Linked DNA regions of Daphnia pulex. The protein of the gene in region 4 binds, or shares a complex with, the protein of the main gene of each other region. Links are inferred from orthologs where the notes say so. Each region holds a gene or a part of one and is shown on either strand. Other genes may lie near its edges.

Region 1 (4,410 bases), on a different chromosome or scaffold from region 4:
TCCGAATGCTTCACATCCAATGAATCGCACCGAACTAAATGGTCTCCTTAGCGGTGTATGCGTTCCGTGCCACTATTCTTGTCTTTACTGCAGAGGACCAAGTGATTCTCAGTGCACTTCATGCTATCCTGATTCACAGCTCAAGTTTGTTTCTATACCAGGTACTGATGGTTAGACCTATGTTTGAAAAATCTATTAACAAATGTTGTTTCACCGTAGGATCCCAAATAGAACCAGAATCGCACTGTTATCCGCATGAACTCGTAAAGCAATTAACGGGCTACGAAAACTGGTCCGTGGGTGTCGAACTGGCTCTGGCGTTTAATTTAGCACTCGTGATGGCTTTAACGATTTACATGATGTGCACTAAAAAGAGTTTCAGTTCTTCTTTTGTTTTAAACTGTTGTAGCGGCAGCAACGAACGGGAAACGAACCACAGGCAAGGTGACTACGATCTGTTGACACAAACAAGCGCAAATCTTCCTCCACCTATTGGCGCCGAAAAATCAGTTTAAAGAGTAAAAGTTCTAAAGTCAACATTGTTTAGAAGATAAAATGTCAGTTTTTAATATTTATAAAATGTAAAGATTATATTTGTAAAAAGGTTCTATAAATATTTGAATGAGCGGTTTGCCAGATTCTGTAATAAATTACATTCTAACGGATACCATATTGATTGTCGTCGTCAGTCATTGTAAAAACTGGTAAAAACCGTGTTTGCTATAGAAGGCCTAATGCATATAAAACAAATAATTAAATGAGCTTGGTAAATGTATAGTGAAATAAATTTGCAGCAATCACAAGTTGTGTTAAGATTAAAGTTTTCACTAAAATATATGATTCAAATATAAAGGTAAGAACAAAGCCTACTAAATTAAAATCATACCTGAAAAAATGTTTATACATCACATCACAATAAAAAAATATGCATAAGGATTCTATAATATTAGAATAAAAAAGGTTATAAAAAATGATTTTTATTAGTTATCCCTATATGTACAATTTTTCAATTTGACTACAAAGATAAATTCCAGATAATTTCCATAACCTTAACTGTCGTTTTGGAGAAGGTTACATTTTATTTTCTTTTGACGGTTCTTGTTTTTTTGTTTCATGTTTCATTTCTTGGTCAAGTCGTTCTTTAGCTCTGTATACTTTAGATTGAAGGTAGAATGAACCACCTTTCGTCTTGTCATTAACTTGGAACAAGTGATCATAGTTCTTCTGCACCAACTCAGGTTCTAATTTATCCACATTCAAGATTTCTTTTGCTTCCTCAAGGGTCATGCCTGTCTACAGAATGAAAAAAAAAACATGTTAACTTTTTAAAATTTACTGATATTACATAACTTTTGTGTGTAACAAACAAACCTTGAAGTTAGCTTCTACACGTGATGCGCCGGCTTTCCCACCACCAGCTCTTTTGGCAGCTTCCTGGCTAGCTTGATATTCTTGTTTAAGAGCTCTAGCAAACGCTCGCCCAATAACCTGGCCCCCCATAACAATTATTTGGGCCAAATATTTTGCCATAACCGTGGCGAGATAGATTCAAAATGATTACGTGATGATTTACGTCTGTAGTAGTATCAAGGTAGTATACTGGAATGTTTAGCAGGCGAAAAACAAACGGAAAAGCTACAGAAAAAAATGAAGACTCTTCTCTCAGAACAGACAGGTCAGTTTAAAAAATTTAGTTTGAAAAATCTTAAATAACTTAAGTGATTGATTTGTTAAAAATATAAAAATATTTCATAAAAGTAAACTAAATAACGATAAAATTTTCTTTTCAATTGATGAATTGATCGCCCCACCCACTTGACCACTTGATGTCTCTGTCTGTCCGTAGCAGACGACGGATTCAAGCGTCGTTCTGTCGTTCCGTTGCTAATGCCGACAAAGTTTTACTTTTTATCAACACAGTTAAATTTCAATGATTATTCTTTTGACTGTACACATCTAGTGTTTTAGATTAATTCAAAATGGCTAATCGAACAATCAAAGAGGCAATTTCTGTTAAAGGAACAAATCCTCAATACTTGGTTGAAAAGATTATTAGAACTCGAATTTATGATTCAAAGTACTGGAAAGAAGAATGCTTTGCTTTGACAGGTATATTGAAAATTTTACTTGTGTTTTGATGCACTCATTTTATTTATGTATATGTATTTTTTTAGCTGAGTTGATGGTGGATAAGGCCATGGAATTAAGGTACATTGGTGGAATATTTGGTGGTAATGTTAAACCTACTCCATTTCTCTCACTTACACTAAAAATGCTTCAAATCCAACCAGAAAAGGACATTGTAGTGGAGTTTATAAAAAATGAAGATTTCAAGTAAGTTCTTTGACCAAAACAGACAAGTTATACAGGAAATCACCTAATATAATGTATCATTATAGATATGTCCGTGCCTTGGGAGCATTCTACATGAGACTTGTTGGAACATCTGTGGAAATCTATAAATATTTAGAACCACTTTACAATGATTACAGAAAAATTCGGTTTCAAAACAAGGAAGGAAGTAATAATAAAAATAAGATATTTTTAAAAAGAATACTGCAAATTAACATGTGGTTTTATTTAGATTTTGAGCTTCTTTACATGGATGATTTCATTGATAGTTTACTGAGAGAAGAGCGTTTTTGTGATGTTATCCTGCCCAGACTTCAGGTATAAATGTGAATTAGTATTCAACCTAAAAAATACTGATTAAATACGGTTTATTTTACTTTCAGAAACGTCAAATTCTGGAAGAAGCTAATGAAGTTGAGCCGAGAGTATCAGCTTTGGAAGAAGACTTGGAGGAAGAAGATTCAGAAAGTGAAGAAGAAGAGGGTGAAAGGAAAGGAGGTTCGTTGTCGCCCCCTCCTACTACATCGCGTTCAAAGCAGGACAGTGATCGAGAACGGGAACGTTCTCGTCGTAATAGGGATAAAGAACGTGAACGAGAGAGAAGTAGGGAAAGACGTGATCGACATAGAGACAGAAGTCGAAGTCGTGACAAAAGGAATCGCAGCCGTGAGCGTGACAGGGACCGCAGTCGTGAAAGAGAAAGGGATCGAAGTCGCCGCCAGCGAAGCCGCTCAGTCGAACGTTCGCGTGACTACAGAAGAGACCAAGACAGGGATCGTAGAGACCGCAAGGACCGCGGGAAAGATCGTGAATCAGAACGAGATCGAAGCAAAAGAGGCGAAGATCGTGACAAGTACAACAACAAAAAGAAAGATAGCAAAAAGAGTAGCAGTTCCAGTGCTGCCATCGATCCTGAAATTGCAGAAGCGAATGCCTTGCGAGCTAAGTTGGGGCTGGCTCCTTTGCGACCGTAATCTGCTGTCTTTTTTCTAATCGTTTTGTAATAAACACTCTTTTCATTTCCTTATTATTCCGAGGTCTATCTGATTCTTTATTCTTATTTCTTGTGTTGGATGTGCAGACTTCAACTTAGACAAGAACTTAGGATTCTTCCTAAGTGAGACGGTGTTCGTTATTGCAAATGTAAAAGAGTCAAAAACAAGGTAAGTATTAGCTGATCCCAACAGACATTTTAAACACAAATTTGTAGATCAATCATCATTTTGACACTACTATTTAATGTTGACCCCGTTTTCTGAATTCTTTGTAAAATGGCGAAAAAGTTTATATCTGTTCACGGATCCCGAAAAACTATTATTGCCCTCGGCGCGCAGTAATGACTTCATGATTGGCTGGTGCACCAGTATGAATTTATGGTGATTTTTATTTTTTGAGATAATTTTTCCAAAATTTCCTTTCGTTAAGAACTTACGAAGCATCAGCCGTTGCAAGAATAACAATCAGAAAAGGACTTGTTCCTCATTTGAAATTTTTCCTATTATTTTTCGTCACTTACAATTTTTCCTCAGTACCGTAGTTACTAGTTAGGCTAAAGATCTCGTAGTCTCGTCCTATAAGATAAAAGCTCAACACGGATTACGGTACTACGGCCTCGGAGATGCAGACGACACCAGCTTCCAATCCTTTTTAACGTGGTCTGACTAAAATTTAAATGATCTGTGATGTGTGGGATCTTCATGGTTTCTTTTCTTTTACTGGAACTGGACATCATTTTTCCAGCTATAAAATGTATTGCCATTAGATCACTCGTTGGCTAAAAACTATGTCCACTAGATGGTGTAAGTGTCTTTGATAGAATCGAAATTCCACCATTTTTTTTTCTAGACACTGAGAGAAGATGTAGATTGCAGATGTAGACAAAAAAAGACCGAACGCTACCTCAGAAAGTATCCTAGAAAATGAAGAGAGTTCTTCGAATCCTTTAGTTATCGAAAGGGGAATGTACACACCACATAATTTCTTCGAAGGCGGTGCAGTGGAGTAGTAGTTTCTCCAGGACGCTGTCTAGGCAAAGTACCGATGGTTCTCAGATAAACT
Region 2 (5,347 bases), on a different chromosome or scaffold from region 4:
TTATACACAGCACTTGAACGAATGATTCATTACGATTTGTGATTAGATGTTAACCACGTTAGTCCTTCATACAAGCCGTCGCCTGTTGTGGCACATGCTGGCTGGACGTACCAGTTCCGATCACGAATACGAGTCAGCCCCAGTTTTTCTTGAATTTCGTGTGGTTTCATGGCTGTCAACATGAAAATGTCGTGAATAAATTGGGGTTCCACAGTCTCAATTATAATAATTGTAAAATACTCACCATCCTGGAGGTCTTGTTTATTTGCAAATATAAGGATGATGGCATCACGCATCTCACGATCGTTTATGATCCTATGAAGTTCTTGTCTAGCTTCGTCAATTCGATCTCGATCTGCGCAGTCCACAACGAATATCAAACCTTGGGTACCAGTATAATAGTGTCGCCACAGTGGGCGGATCTTATCTTGGCCACCAACATCCTGCAGTAATGATTCATATTTTAGTGTTGGGTTTAGAAATTTGATGGGTGAGGTCAAAAGGAACTAGCTTACCCAAACATTGAATTTGACATTTTTATATGTTACAGTTTCAACATTGAATCCAACGGTGGGAATTGTTGTGACTGACTGTCCTAATTTCAGCTTGTATAGAATTGCTATTTTGAAAAACAAAAATAATAAGTATAACTTGGAAAAAAACCAATGCTATCAGACAACACATAAAATTCTTTATCTCACTTGTTTTTCCAGCTGCATCCAGCCCCAGCATGAGTATCCTCATTTCCTTGTTTCCGAATATTTTGGACAGTATTTTCCCCATTCTCCTAATCAGCTCACTAACAAGCTGTTTTACAAGAAAAGAACTTTATTTCAAGCAACAAAATGACCCTGTCAGCCACAGCCATATAGTTTATCCACATCTGTAGAACTGAAGTGTCAAACTAGTTTGGTAACTTTTCAGTGACATTTGTGGCAAAAGTTGTTATCAGAAAAAAATAAACAGACTTTGCTCAGTCATTTACAGCATACTAGCTAACATACTATTATCAGATCAGGTTTTCCACTTACTTTAATGTAGACTCAACAATGACGTTTACTGGAATTTTAGCTGTAATATGGAAGTATTTTCGAAGGCATTCCTATGAACCGGAGTCGTTATTTGCACAAACACTATTTTGTTTTTGATGTGAGCACTAAGAAATCGATGGAAGGCGTTGGAAACAGGCGAAAATAAATAGTTTCTTTGCTTCTTCAGATAAAAAGGCACCTGTCACTTCAGTTAGCCGCCCAAACACCCGACCCGGTCTTCCCGATATCTTTGCAAGTCTTCAGAAGATCCAAAAAACTCGGGCCTTCCAATGTAATGAACAGACAGAATAGTACTCCTTGCATCTCACCAGATGGCTTTTTTTTCCTTCTTCCAATTTTGGTGACGGCGGCGTCTGAAAACAACTAGCTATTTCAGACTTTAACACATTCCACTCAACTAATCAATTATTTCTATTATTACACTTATTCAAGTGGAATAACGAGAGGAATGACATACACACACCAGTGTAATTGAGCAGATGGAATTCCAACACTGACAGCCAGTGTCCCCTTTTCTGCCCACCTTCTGATCCGCCCACCCAAGCTTCGATTTGATTCGATTTCAAAACCATTCCCTAACCGTCAACGTGTTCCCTCCCACATCTTTAAAATGTATTATTGAAACAACGAGTGATAAATTATTTTATTATAATTTTTAATGCAGGATTCATTGGTTCGAAAGGGGAAAATTTATTTAGCAGTTTCTAACATTTCTAAAAATTTGATCGGCAATACGGCAAGTGTTTAGTAGCGACGTCTATAATTTCAATTTAAGTAGCGGTCTCTGGCGTCAAGATTACGAAAGAAAAGTTGAAATTCATGAACACATTTTTCTTTTTAGGTTGCCGGAAGTCGACAAAATGCCTCAAGCCGGATCCCTATCTCCTCCCTTAACCCCCCGCAGCAACAGCTAACAGGTTGTCTCGGCTATCAAAGTGCATTTAAGGAAGCTGAATTACTCATTTTACAACTGAAACATTTCACCATGTAAGCCGCTAGCCGTAGTCTTTTGTTTTTTTTCCAAAAGAAGCATATTCACCATAAATATGTTCATGGTTTGTACATAGTGTTTCTATACAGTCACCGCCACCATGTTATGACGTTTTTTTGATGGATTGTTATTTCTTGTTGTTGCTTTTCGGACACATGTGTACTTGACTACTCAAAAGATTTGCTTTTCTCCCACAATACTTATTACTGGTTAGGTATTTTTCTATAAATAAGCACACTAGTGCTTGTTGCCTGGAAAGATTTATTTTAGCTCCTTTCTTTTATTACAGTACAAAACAGTTATTTATTAAGAAATAAAATGGAGACATCGAAGTAGAATTTCGAAACCGCACATTATTATGCTATGACGATAAAAAAAAAGCGGTAGAACCACCAAAAATATTCGGTTAAACTTTCGAGCGGATATATTTAGTGGAATATAGCGTGAGGTAAATTTTGAAGTGTGTGTCTAATCGATGTCCTTGAGTTCAATATCTTCGACGATCCGGTGAAAACTGCACGAAGTCATGCGGAGCTTTGAATACTTTGGTGTTTCGAAACAGTTGATAATAAGCTGAAACTCGTAAAACCACCGCCATTGCGATCAAATAGTGCGATGTGTAAAATCTAGCTACGACATAAGTAATTTCCTACAAAGTAAGTAGTAAGTAGGTAGTTGCTATATACAATAAATGAGTGATTTATTGTAACGTCATAATGAGGTCCAAATTCCTAAATTCCGACATTAATTTTCTCAGATTTATTTCGTGATTCTTAGGCACTTCAAGGTAAACGAGATTCCTCACGGTTGCCAATCCCTGGATAGAACTTGGCGAAAGGTCTCCATGGATTTTGGTCACGGCCTCTTTATCCTGATCCTGCTATCAGCTAATAAAACTCAGATAAAACTATCGTGTTTGCATTGTGTTGCCTAGAAGCAGCATAATCAGATTTTCAGTGGATTACAGCAACATCAATTGCTGGGTACTGGTCACAGTCTGCAATAACATGTCATACAATATTACGTGCCATAGGAGACGGCAAAAGTCACGTCATTCTTTATTTCAATTTAAGTTCTTAGATGGCGCAGTAGTCGTCTTCAATTTCATTCGCCAACAGAGGACTCTGCACTCTGGTGATCCGATGAGTGGCCCACTGGCCCTGAATAGAGTATGCAATGGCAACGAAAAAAACATTGAGTGAAAATTCAGACAACAAACGCGTGTATATGGTCGTTCCGTATTAAGATTAAGACAATTTTTTGTGAAAATGTCGTCATCCAAAGTGGTCCCTATCCTTTCAACCGCGGGTGCTATCCCTGTGAAAAATGACAAAGGGGAGATATCTATGCAAAAAGTTAAAGTCAATCGTTACGTATCAGGCAAACGACCAGACTACGCTACTACACATTCATCTTCAGATGATAGTGATGAAGAAGAGTTTATCAGACCAAGAAAGCAGGCAAGAGGAAGACCAGTAGAAGAAAGGTATTAAATTATTGATTGTAGATATGTATTTATATGCTTGTATATTTAAAAAATTTGATTAAATTGTAGTCCTGAAAAAGAATGGGACGAAACCCCAGATCTTCCACTTACTGCTCACAGTGACAGAAGATTAAAACGTCTTTTAAATCGTGAAGTTGACGACCATAGAATTGAAAGGCATCGTCATATCCATGAGCCTGAAATTATTGGAACAGAAGAAGATGAAGTAACACCTCATTTAGAAAGTGAAGAAGTAAGTTTTAGCAAAAATGCCCGAAGATGGGAATCAAGTGAAGAAGAGGATGAGGCAGAAGATCTTGATGAAGATGACATTGAGCGCAGAAGAATGATTGCACGTCAGAAGGCTGTTATTAAACAGCAAGAAGAAGTAAGTTAATATACTTTGTAGTATGATCATTGATCAATTCAATTCAATTGCAAATTTTGTTGTAGGAGTTGTTGGCAAGAGAGGAGGAGAAGGAAAGTGAGGAAGATGAAGATGACGAAGCTTCAGAATATGAAGAATATACAGGTTTGAAATAAAAGTCCCTTGATGTGAACAAGACTCTAAATCTGTTGTGTTTTTTATCCTAGATTCTGAGGAAGAAACGGGTCCAAGACTGAAGCCCATCTTCGTTAGCAAGAAAGAACGTATAACCATAGCTGAGAAGGAAAAGGAATTGCAAAAACAAAAGCTTATGGAACTTGAAGCTAAAAAGCTTGCCGAAGAACGTCGCCGCTATACCTTAAAGGTAAACCATTTTTAAATTTATACACTTTTTGAACTAAAAAAGCATTAAAAATCTATTAAACAGGTTGTTGAAGAAGAAGTCAGAAAAGAAATGCAAGCCAAAGACGAAAAAGACCTTGAATCAGGAATCTTGTCGGTGTTGACGGATGCCGAGGATGAAGAACTCGAATACGAGACCTGGAAATTACGTGAACTTAAACGCAATAAGCGTGACCGAGATGAAAGAGAGGCAGAAGAAAGAGAACGACAAGAAATTGAACGTATCCGTAATATGACCGAAGAAGAACGGCGACTGGAATTCAAGAACAATCCAAAGGAAGTCACAAACAAGGCACCAAAGGGCAAATATAAGTTCCTACAGAAATACTATCATCGCGGTGCCTTTTACCTCGTAAGTTCAGCTTTTAAAGATATTTGGGATTTTAAAAATAATTTAAACTCTTACTCTAACAGGACGAAGACAAGGAAGTTTTCAAACGCGATTTTGCTGTGCCAACTCTTGAAGATCACTTCGATAAGACTGTTCTGCCTAAAGTGATGCAAGTTAAGAATTTCGGTCGCAGTGGTCGAACCAAATACACACATTTGGTGGATCAAGATACATCACAAGCCGACGCACCGTGGGCCACGCATACTGCTCAGAATTTGAAATTCTACACACAGCATGCTGGTGGAGTAAAACAAGTGTTCGAAAGGCCTGCTTTGAAGAAGAACAATAACTCGGGTACTTGAGTTGTGGCACTGTTTTTATATTTGAAATTGAATTTTGTAACAATGTCTCATCTTTGTGGTTGATACATGCAAACCATCAATCGTACGTGAATTAAACATGTTTCCAGACATTCAATGTATCTAAAGGAAGGGGTAATCTTTTTTTTTCAGTCACTGCTTGTAGTAAAATTTTAAATCTTAGATTACCCTATACTTAGTAGTTCTCTTCTCTGCTGGTCTTTGTCTTTCTGGTCCTGGCTCCTTCTGGGCTGAGAAAACTTTTTTCGCACCCGCTAGATGTGCTGTGTACCGGGCTGGGTTGGGATGGGGTCATGGGGGTGTAAAAAGTTACACTA
Region 3 (5,135 bases), on a different chromosome or scaffold from region 4:
AATTTCGGAAACGATTTCACGGTTTCCAATCGAGCGGACTATTAATCGCCGGATTCAAACACATTGGCTAATACCGTCGCGTTCGTCACTGTGACTATGTAGCTCTAAAAAATCCCTATTGAGGTTGATTTGTTTCTGTATAGTCAGAGAGGATAACCTTAATAAGATGGCATATGGAAAGTTAGAACTTGTTCTACTGTACATCAGATAAAAACCACGAATGCGCGTACATGGCTTATAGCGGTTGCAGCATGTTATATTACGGAACAAGGGGATTTCATACCGCGCCCAGCAGCGCCTTATCTCAACGCATTTATGACAGTGTAGAAAACTATAATCTCATGCTGTTCCCGACGACGACGAAAGTTGGCCCAAAACTACCGACTGCTGATATCGCGTATACAACAACAACAAGTCGACGATGTTAAATTCCAAACGTCGAAGAATTTCGCTGCGGCTATCTTTTGGAAGATGCTGCAATAAAGGCTGTTCCAAAGAATGCAAGGACAACATCAAATTCTTCGTTTTTTCTAGTTTCGTTTTTTTTCAAACCTCTAAACTTGTTCTTAATAGGAAACATCAAAAGTCAAGAGTTGATTTCCGACTGCAAGCCGTTCCACATTCCATCACTGGCGACAGAGGACGAGTTAATCGGTAAAGTTCGGGAACTCGATTGTTTCAGTCAATATGAATTGAATGACTCGAAATGAATTCAACGGTACATTATGAATTGAAAAAAAAAGATAAGTGCTTCAACACCCTTATTCGTTATTCCTTACCGCACCGCAAATAAAAATTTTTGAATAAGAAATTTTAAAAGATAGACAAGTTCGGGATGCTGAGTTGCACAACCGCAAAATTAGGATCGTGCGCCAACGAGTTTTTGTAACGTTGTGGGGATAGTAGAAAGCGGGTTTTTTATTATTTAAGCATAGAATTACTTATCTAATCTTAGAAATGTTCAGGATTATCGTTGTTTAGAACATTCTGCTTTTTATAGAGTAATTTTAAATGTATAATTCAGCTTAGTTTACCCATTAAAATTAAAGAAAGTCCAAGCCTGGGATGCTGTTTAGTCTTTTCTTGTGTTTTTTGACAGATCTGCTGACAAGTGACAAGCTCAAACACACAAGAAAAGACTAAACAGCATCCCAGGCTTGGACTTTCTTTAATTTGAATGGGTAAACTAAGCTGAATTATACATTTAAAATTACTCTATAAAAAGCAGAATGTTCTAAACAACGATAATCCTGAACATTTCTAAGATTAGATAAGTAATTCTATGCTTAAATAATAAAAAACCCGCTTTCTACTATCCCCACAACGTTACAAAAACTCGTTGGCGCACGATCCTAATTTTGCGGTTGTGCAACTCAGCATCCCGAACTTGTCTATTCAAAGCGTGGCTGCATGGTGGTTCTAGAGAGAAACTCGCGCGCATAGCAAGGGATCGGAATATGAACACGTCTTTTGAATTACTTTATGAGTAATAAAAACAGCTGTGAATAAATCATTCTTGATTATCACCACTGAAATTTTTTATTAATTTCACAATTTTATTGTATAATGCATTATGAAATCGTTCTATAAATAATAATAATAATTTAAAAAATCTTGTGATAAAGAAAGCGCAAATGCATTGAAAATGCTGTGTTTAGGGATAGACCAAGTAGAGAGTCGATGTCAGATGTTCAAAAATATTGCCTATCACACAATGCACGAGAAGTCGAACCCTAAACTCGAGCGCGACGCCGGAGCCAAGAGAGATTTCACTCAACCTTTGCTGAATTTTCCATCATGGAAAATCTGTAACATCCACAGGTAAATTCAAGTTTGACTACACATTTTAGTTCCAGATAGTTGAAAAGCAGTTATTTTGATGGTTAAATGTGTGTTTTTGGCGATGTTTAAAATATTGAAGCATGTCAATTTGAAAACCTTGCCGGGTGAGATGCCGGGGCTGTAGTTTCTTTCGCGTACTCGTCTAGCTATTAAAGAAAAGAAAACCCCTTACAACTTTACCGCCTTTCTGTGAATTAAGTTTGGTGGCTATACATGAGGGGGACATTAATTTTCAAATGGTGTGTAACATTGTCATTAAACATGTTGGACAAATGTAAGAATTATATCTGATAACATTTTCGCAGGTGATGCTCATCTAGGCAGTTCAAGTTACACATTGGACACGTCAACTTGAAAGAAAATGTATCTTTACAATCTGACTCTGCAGCGTGCCACTGGCATCATTCAGGCAGTCCAGGGCAACTTCAGTGGCACCAAGCAACAGGAGATTGTCATTGCTCGTGGAAAGGTACTCGAAATTGTGAAGCCGGATCCCAACACTGGCAAAGTACACACACTTCTCAGTCAAGAGGTTTTTGGAATCATCAGGTCAATCATTAGTTTCAGGCTTACTGGAGGAAATAAGGGTGAGTTGTGCAAATATAATTTTTAAAACATACATCCTGCTAACTTTCATTAATTCTGTATTTAGATTACCTTGTGGTCGGATCAGACTCTGGGCGAATTGTCATTCTTGAATACAATGCTGCCAAAAATGTGTTTGATAAGGTGCACCAAGAAACGTACGGCAAAAGCGGTTGTCGTCGGATTGTTCCTGGACAGTACATGGCAATTGATCCCAAAGGCAGAGCTGTTATGATCAGTAAGTTTTGATCCGTTTTTAATTTAAATTCTTGCAAGTGATGAGTTACGTTTTTATGTCTTCTTTCCCCATCTGAGAAAGATAATGCTGATATCTAACGTTTTTACTGAGAATTTTTTAAAATCGAAATCTTGTGGCTTGAGAGTGCGCATTGCTTTAACATTTATGTTTTTTTTTTGCATTGCAGGTGCTATTGAGAAGCAAAAACTGGTCTACATTCTGAACAGGGATGCCCAAGCCCATTTAACCATTTCTTCTCCGCTGGAGGCTCACAAGTCAAACACTCTAGTTTACAACATAGTGGGTGTTGACGTGGGATTTGAAAACCCTGTATTTGCTTGTTTGGAGATGGATTATGAAGAGGCCGATGGTGATCCAACAGGCGAGGCGGCACAGAAGACGCAACAAACGCTTACATTCTACGAACTCGATCTGGGTTTAAACCACGTCGTTAGGAAATATAGGTGCGTAACAAATCTTGGTGATTTTGGTTTTGCCTGGTTGGGTTTCAAAACCCCTTAACTTTACTGCTCTCTTGTCACTTAAAGATTGCAGCTATACATAAGGGGGACATTATCTATCATAGTGTGTAACATTGTTGACTTATGTGTGACAATGTAAGAAATATTTTGATGAACATATCTTTACTTTAATAGTGAGCCGTTGGATGAGCACGCCAATTTCCTCATCACTGTTCCTGGAGGAAACGACGGACCTTCCGGAGTTCTGGTTTGCTCCGAGAACTACATCACATATAAGAATTTGGGTGAACAGCATGACATTCGTTGCCCAATCCCCAGAAGAAGGGTACGTTTGATCATTTCATTATGTTATTTGGCGCGCGGTATCTCCAGCCGTGTTCTATACACGTGCTGGTCGACTAGTGCCTAAACTATACTTGGAGATGTTTGCATCGTTGGATTGTAATGCGCATATTGCATGCTGTCCTGGAACGAACCTCCGATAAGTTATTTATTCCATGTATTGAGGACGGTAGTAATAAGTTTTTTCTCTGTAGAATGACTTGGATGATCCGGAAAGGGGCATGATTTTCGTCTGCTCGGCTTCCCATCGCACCAAGGCCATGTTTTTCTTCCTTGTCCAAACGGAGCAGGGCGATATTTTCAAGATCACCATGGATATGGATGAAGAGGTGGTGAGAGAATTGAAAATCAAGTACTTTGATACCGTTCCAGTTTCGTCCAGCATGTGTGTGTTGAAGACAGGCTTTCTATTCGTCGCATCGGAATTTGGAAATCAGTTAGTTTTCTTAAATTTTTTTTTCTATTTGCTGAAATGATGTGTATTGTCATCCGTGTTTCACCTGAGATAACACTTTGATTATAATTTTTGACTCTGATTTCGGTTACAAAATTTGAAGTAGTTTTATGGGTTTTCAAGTGTATTAATTTTCCTTGTGTTATTAGTTATCTTTACCAGATTGCTCATTTGGGGGATGATGACGATGAACCCGAATTCAGCTCTACTATACCATTGGAGGAAGGAGATACTTTCTTCTTTGCTCCGAGACCTTTGAAGAATCTTGTTCTCGTGGACGAGATGGAGTCTTTATCTCCAGTTCTGGCCTGCCATATTGCTGATCTCGGTAGGTTTGATAATTCCTCCTGTTTTGAAAGGTTTTTAACATTTGTTTTCAATTTACAGCCAATGAGGATACACCCCAGTTGTATGCACTTTGTGGTAGAAGTTCTCGTTCGTCTCTTCGTGTTCTCCGTCATGGATTGGAAGTATCGGAGATGGCTGTTTCTGAACTTCCCGGTAACCCCAATGCAGTGTGGACTGTCAGAAAACGTGCCGACGGTAATTTTAATTTGTGTTGTGCTCAGCGGGCGTGTCACATTGTGCGCGCACGTGAGCGACTGGTGGTTGGACCATAGTTCAAACGCCAGTCTTTTTTACTGTTTTCAGGTTAGCCTTGATCTTCCCTGGAACCTAGTGGAGTAATGCTTCAGTTCACTTACTCAGCTGTACACTCCCTTTTTTTTATCTATCCCCCATGAGTCCTTTTCATTATTATGGAGGGGTTATTAAATTTCTTTTATTTTTCTTCACAGACGAGTTTGATGCTTACATTGTTGTGTCATTCGTGAATGCCACACTTGTGTTGTCCATCGGTGAAACTGTTGAAGAGGTGACAGACTCAGGGTTTTTGGGCACGACGCCTACTCTAGGGTGTTCCTCGCTGGGTGATAATGCATTGCTCCAGGTAATAAAATTTTGCAAAATACTCCTATCCAGTAATATCATAGACCATAACTATCTTAACAGGTTTATCCTGAAGGAATTCGACACATAAGGGCAGACAGAAGGATCAACGAATGGAAATCCCCTGGTAAACGAGCTATATCTCGGTGTGCAGTTAATCAGCGCCAGGTTGTCATTTCTCTAGCTGGCGGGGAATTGGTGTACTTCGAGATGGATCCGGTAAGTCCTTGTGATTGTGTAAATT
Region 4 (5,097 bases):
GGGAAAGAAAAAACAAAATTTCGTTTTCTAGAGGGTCCGGATGAAATGGAAAGTGAAAGTCCTTGAAGAGAAAAAAAACAAAGGTCCATCTTTGTCCCTATACATGCACAGACACCGGTGCTGCTGTCTATTAAACCGTCTACCTGCCGTTTAGAGCGCGCACCTATATGGGGAGAGAGAGAGGTGCGGCCGAGAGTCAAGGCAACTCACATCCTTCATCCCCTCCCCCTATCTTGTGTGTGTATACATAGTAAATACAAGAGTTGATCAGACATCTCTACAGCAATATGCTGCCCCGTCTATTTCTAGATTTGTAGGGTCGTTGAAACCTGAAACTTTTTCGTCCTTGACTCTCGTCCGTACCTCGCCGAGCCGAGAGGTGAAAATGGAGGAGGAAAAGTGGGCCATAAAAAGCAGCTTAAGCTTAAGGTATGACAAGAAATAAAAAAAGGTACTACAAGGCGCTCATCCGGCGAGTTGTTGCCGGTGAACAACGAAGAGAGAGCCACTATACCAGCCAGCCAGCACAGGACAAAGACATTCGAGACCAAAAGTGGTCGCTCGGTCGCCCTAATGCAGGTCTCTGCTGGTCTGTTGCACGGATGGTGATCTAGGTGAAGGGCAAGACAAACAAGAAATGGAAATGGAAATAACACAGCAGCGACGATGGAGAGAGGCGAAATCACTCTCGCTTTCTAAAAATCTAAGGGCGACTCTACTACTATTTCTCTCTCTTATTCTTTCATATATAGGTTCTCTTTTCTTTCTATTAGCCCGCGTGGTGTGTTTCTCTTTTCAAACTTCTTTTTCCCTTTTTCACCGAATATACTATGTTGTGTTATGTCATCGCAAAACTAACAGCCCCGCCAGCAGCTTTTTCTTTCCTGTGATTACTCAACAAATGGAAGGGAAAAAGAGTCGCGCGCGTGGTGGGGAAAACTGGCCAACTTTTTGATTAAATACACACACGCTCTTTCATTATTATTATTATGATTACTATGATTTCCATTGTTCCATATCTCTCTTTTTTTTTCCTGCCTTTCCATTCGACCAGATTTTCTACTGCCCGTATAGTGTGTGCTGTATTAACTGCTGCGGAAGAAAAATGTTGACAGGGTTTCCACAACTTTCCCCGCGCTGTAATAATTGAAGGATGTCGCAAGGACTTTCGGGGGGCTGTCCTTATTTCCAATCTTTTCAGCTCAAATACCATCGGGACTATAAGCGATATATTCCGTTGGCAGCATTTATCTCTGCAATAAAGGCACGAGATCAAGGTATTTCATATTGTCGGTGCATAATATAATGGGAAAGGGGATAAACTATATCGCAACTTGCCGACCAACGGTCGAGGCGAACCGGTATACAGCCAATGACAAATGAACGGCCAAATCTGTGGAATTTGCGCACGAATGAATCATTCATGGCTCGCCGTCTGGACAAAAGAAAAAAGAAAATAAGAAACGGATTGAGGACAGCTTGTCCGTGACTCGGATCGATAATATAATGGCGAAACAAATCCAAGTCAAAACAAACGTATACATATAATTCTTTTAGACGAAGGTAGGTTACTAATTCGGGCTATAGTCATTGCTATTGTTATGGCTATACTTGCAATTCATCGAATTAATAATAAGCTATTTGACTACATTTTATGAATGGCTGTAATTCCCATTTTGCGACAATTAAAATAGCATATCGTAAATTTCTTGATTGGGACTCTATCCCAGACCAAAGTTTGTTAAATAGACAATTCATTGAAATTATCAAATCCAAATTAATTTCTTAGATTAAGAACATAGGTGTAATTTAACTATAAGGTTAATAAAACCTCTAAAAGACAATGTTGTCCAACTTGGCAGCTTTACTTTCTTTGATTTTTCAAATTTCGCACGAAACTCTCTAGTTTTAAAAGTGAGCTCTAGATGGCTCTTGAAACAAACAAACTTGTGACAGAAGAAGCTGATCGGTTTACAATTTGGAAATTCTTAAAAATTGTTTCTGAAAATGTCTATTGAAATTGAATCAGCCGAGTAATTACAAACATACATTTTAAAACATTGAGTTCCTAATGTAACATGCATTTCCTTAATCTTCTAGCGTTATTCGTCTCATCCAGCAGTTCTTGAAAGAGTCTAACTTGATGAGGACCCTCCAAGTGCTCCAGGTACCATGCCGGTTTTTGTTTTCTTACTCAATGTAGCCGAAAACAATATTCATTAAACAAATCTTTATCTTCCTCATTATGTAGGATGAAACAGGCATTTCTCTCAACACTGTCGATTCAGTTGAATCATTTGCAGATGACATTCTCAGTGGCCATTGGGATACAGTTTTAAAAGCAACACAATCTCTTAAACTTCCAGACAAGAAATTAATTGACCTTTATGAACAGGTATCAATCACTCATCAAGAATCTTTGCAAATTCTAGAGTCATAATAATAACGGGTAACAAATTGCTAGGTCGTTTTAGAATTGATAGAGCTCCGTGAGTTGGGGGCAGCCAGATCACTGCTGCGTCAGACAGATCCTATGGCCCTTATGAAACAGCAAGAACCTGATCGATATTTAAATCTAGGTCAGTTCTTCTTCTTTAGTCAACCCACCATCAGTAATTGATGAATTTCTTTTTGTTCGTCTTCCATAGAAAACCTGCTGGCTAGGTCTTATTTTGACACCAGGGAAGCATATCCCGAAGGAAGCAGTAAAGAAAAACGGAGAGCAGCCATTGCTCAAGCTCTGAGTGGAGAAGTGTCCGTGGTACCACCATCTCGTCTACTCGCTCTACTCGGGCAATCTTTGAAATGGCAACAGCATCAAGGACTTTTGCCTCCCGGTACCAGTATCGATCTTTTCAGAGGTAAAGCTGCCATCAAAGAACAAGAAGAGGAACAGCCACCTACTCAGTTGACTAAACACATCAAATTCGGACAAAAGTCTCACGTCGAATGCGCAAAATTCTCACCTGACGGACAGTATCTGGTCACCGGCTCTGTTGACGGCTTTATTGAAGTTTGGAATTTTACCACCGGAAAGATTCGTAAAGATCTCAAATACCAAGCTCAGGTAATCAAGAAATGTACCCTTCAATTTCAAATCACTGTAACATATTTTTGTTTTTATCTCCAGGACAATTTCATGATGATGGAAGATGCTATTCTCTGCCTAACCTTTAGTCGTGACTCTGAAATGCTTGCTAGTGGCTCTCAAGATGGCAAAATCAAAGTTTGGAAAATTCAGACTGGCCAGTGCCTACGCAAATTTGAGAAAGCCCATAGCAAAGGTGTGACCAGTATGCAGTTTTCCAAAGATAACAGCCAGCTATTGACAGGATCGTTCGACATGTCCGTCAGGTAAAGGCAATTGTTCCCATCTTTTTGTGAAAAATAATCGACGATCTTTGCTGATTCTTAAACTTTTATTTGCAGAGTCCACGGTTTAAAATCGGGCAAGACTCTGAAAGAATTCCGTGGCCACACTTCCTTCGTCAACGAAGCCATTTTCACAGCCGATGGTCATCACGTGTTGAGTGCTTCCTGTGACGGCAGTGTCAAAGTCTGGAGTATGAAATCGGGCGAGTGCGTCTCCACGTACAAATCGCTGGGCGGTTCATCAGGCGGTGACTTGACGATTCACACCATCACCCTCCTACCCAAGAACCCAGAGCAGTTTATCGTCAGCAATAAGAGCAGTACTGTAGTTATCATGAATATGCAGGGACAGGTAAGAGAAATATCTAAACGTTAATCGCCTAACGCTAAAATAATCCATTTCGTTCTTTATTAAAAAATACGCGTAGATTGTCAGATCATTCACCAGCGGTAAGCGTGATGGTGGTGACTTTGTTTGCTGTACCCTATCACCTAAAGGCGAATGGATTTATTGCATCGGTGAAGACATGGTGCTCTATTGTTTCTCCATCGCATCAGGCAAACTCGAAAAAACTTTAACGGTACTTTTTATTCTTTCTCGTAATTTCGCTGCTAGTTGTCGTTCTCATTTCTCCATTTCTGATTTAGGTCCACGAGAAAGAAGTCATAGGCATGAGTCACCACCCGCATCAAAATCTCCTATGTACCTACAGTGAAGACGGATTTCTGAGAATGTGGCGACCTTAAACTTTGATGACGAATCTATTTTGAACGAGGAAAAATACAGGTGTCGTTTTGTGAAGCTAGAAATGACTCTTCGATTTTCACAGCAAAGAGTCAACAGATTGGAGTTGAAACAACATGATGGTGAAACACAAGGCATAAATTTCATTCATAATTTTGTGCTGCTTCTCTTGGTTCCTGACTCTTTCGTTGTTAGCCCGTATTTCCACTTAAGGTGTTTTCATCTTTCCCGTCGCTTGTAAGGTCGCTGAGGTAGAATGATGAGTTGGACCTTGAGCGTGTCACGCTTGGGCCCAACCAGGAAAGGCGATGGTGGACTATTTGGCTGTGGCCGATCACAATCGAACCGATCCGGATTGATGTCCGAGTATGTCAGTAAGTTGTCATATCGCAGCACTGGTTCTTCCTGCGAGAAGATGAAATTCCGGACCGTTGTGCTTCGCACATGTTCAACTCCGCCGTGTACACCGTAAACCAGTACAGCTACACGGACGTGAGCTTCAATAGGGTCCTGCATCAACAAAAGTTCAACAATTCAGAATGGCGCTTCAATCAAATTAAAAAAAAAAAAAAAAAAGATTAACGATGAAACGACCTTCAGCATGAGTGACAGTCTTACTGTACGCAAAACTGTTTCTGGAACTTCGATATTTCCTTGCCAGACAATTAGACAGCAAGGCCGAAACCACACTCCTGTCACACAGTCAAAAAGGTATGTAAATTGAAATTGGGCTATCAGGGTATGAATGTTATTCTACCTTTGGGAGAGAACTCGATAACCCACTCATAGGCGTCTGTTTCAAAGTCGGCACAAGAAGCCGGCGAAGAGAGCAACAGAGTTCTCGTGTGGTACGCCGGTAATGAGGGGAAATTCTCCAGTGTTATGTGAGTGCCCCATTTTTCGGAAGTGTAAAGACGCGGTGTGAACAACTGGGAATCGGGATTGTTCTGTTGCAACAGTGCTTCTGTGAATTCTTCCCT

Evidence for each region.
Region 1: WD40 repeat-containing protein SMU1-like (region 4) and pre-mRNA-splicing factor 38A-like share a complex: the UniProt entries of both Homo sapiens proteins name them as parts of the spliceosome B complex. The link is inferred for Daphnia pulex from reciprocal best matches to the Homo sapiens genes SMU1 and PRPF38A.
Region 2: WD40 repeat-containing protein SMU1-like (region 4) and microfibrillar-associated protein 1-like share a complex: the UniProt entries of both Homo sapiens proteins name them as parts of the spliceosome B complex. The link is inferred for Daphnia pulex from reciprocal best matches to the Homo sapiens genes SMU1 and MFAP1.
Region 3: WD40 repeat-containing protein SMU1-like (region 4) and splicing factor 3B subunit 3-like share a complex: the UniProt entries of both Homo sapiens proteins name them as parts of the spliceosome B complex. The link is inferred for Daphnia pulex from reciprocal best matches to the Homo sapiens genes SMU1 and SF3B3.

Annotation. Positions count from the first base shown.
Region 1 is NC_060022.1:2,882,229-2,886,638, forward strand, and holds pre-mRNA-splicing factor 38A-like, read left to right. Parts: upstream 1-1,834; 5' UTR 1,835-1,979; coding exon 1,980-2,109; intron 2,110-2,174; coding exon 2,175-2,334; intron 2,335-2,399; coding exon 2,400-2,521; intron 2,522-2,557; exon of another isoform or gene 2,558-2,584; coding exon 2,585-2,670; exon of another isoform or gene 2,671-2,735; coding exon 2,736-3,326; 3' UTR 3,327-3,375; downstream 3,376-4,410. Other genes in the region: furin-like protease 1, read left to right, coding at 1-161, 220-515; mitochondrial import inner membrane translocase subunit Tim16-like, read right to left, coding at 1,072-1,293, 1,372-1,530. UniProt on the Homo sapiens protein: Involved in pre-mRNA splicing as a component of the spliceosome.
Region 2 is NC_060019.1:11,264,792-11,270,138, reverse strand, and holds microfibrillar-associated protein 1-like, read left to right. Parts: upstream 1-1,896; 5' UTR 1,897-2,039; exon of another isoform or gene 2,040-2,107; intron 2,108-2,820; 5' UTR 2,821-3,311; coding exon 3,312-3,529; intron 3,530-3,598; coding exon 3,599-3,917; intron 3,918-3,982; coding exon 3,983-4,061; intron 4,062-4,123; coding exon 4,124-4,281; intron 4,282-4,344; coding exon 4,345-4,671; intron 4,672-4,733; coding exon 4,734-5,012; 3' UTR 5,013-5,122; downstream 5,123-5,347. Other genes in the region: ADP-ribosylation factor 6, read right to left, coding at 30-172, 245-443, 516-619, 702-783. UniProt on the Homo sapiens protein: Involved in pre-mRNA splicing as a component of the spliceosome.
Region 3 is NC_060019.1:9,348,223-9,353,357, forward strand, and holds the start of splicing factor 3B subunit 3-like, read left to right. Parts: upstream 1-1,666; 5' UTR 1,667-1,821; intron 1,822-2,147; 5' UTR 2,148-2,203; coding exon 2,204-2,429; intron 2,430-2,494; coding exon 2,495-2,665; intron 2,666-2,852; coding exon 2,853-3,129; intron 3,130-3,321; coding exon 3,322-3,472; intron 3,473-3,683; coding exon 3,684-3,925; intron 3,926-4,092; coding exon 4,093-4,271; intron 4,272-4,330; coding exon 4,331-4,486; intron 4,487-4,740; coding exon 4,741-4,892; intron 4,893-4,954; coding exon 4,955-5,110; intron 5,111-5,135. UniProt on the Homo sapiens protein: Component of the 17S U2 SnRNP complex of the spliceosome, a large ribonucleoprotein complex that removes introns from transcribed pre-mRNAs.
Region 4 is NC_060024.1:13,654,319-13,659,415, forward strand, and holds WD40 repeat-containing protein SMU1-like, read left to right. Parts: upstream 1-1,884; 5' UTR 1,885-2,007; coding exon 2,008-2,033; intron 2,034-2,100; coding exon 2,101-2,167; intron 2,168-2,251; coding exon 2,252-2,395; intron 2,396-2,464; coding exon 2,465-2,579; intron 2,580-2,648; coding exon 2,649-3,067; intron 3,068-3,130; coding exon 3,131-3,354; intron 3,355-3,429; coding exon 3,430-3,724; intron 3,725-3,800; coding exon 3,801-3,953; intron 3,954-4,020; coding exon 4,021-4,119; 3' UTR 4,120-4,178; downstream 4,179-5,097. Other genes in the region: BTB/POZ domain-containing protein 17-like, read right to left, coding at 4,337-4,627, 4,712-4,809, 4,875-5,097. UniProt on the Homo sapiens protein: Involved in pre-mRNA splicing as a component of the spliceosome. Regulates alternative splicing of the HSPG2 pre-mRNA. Required for normal accumulation of IK.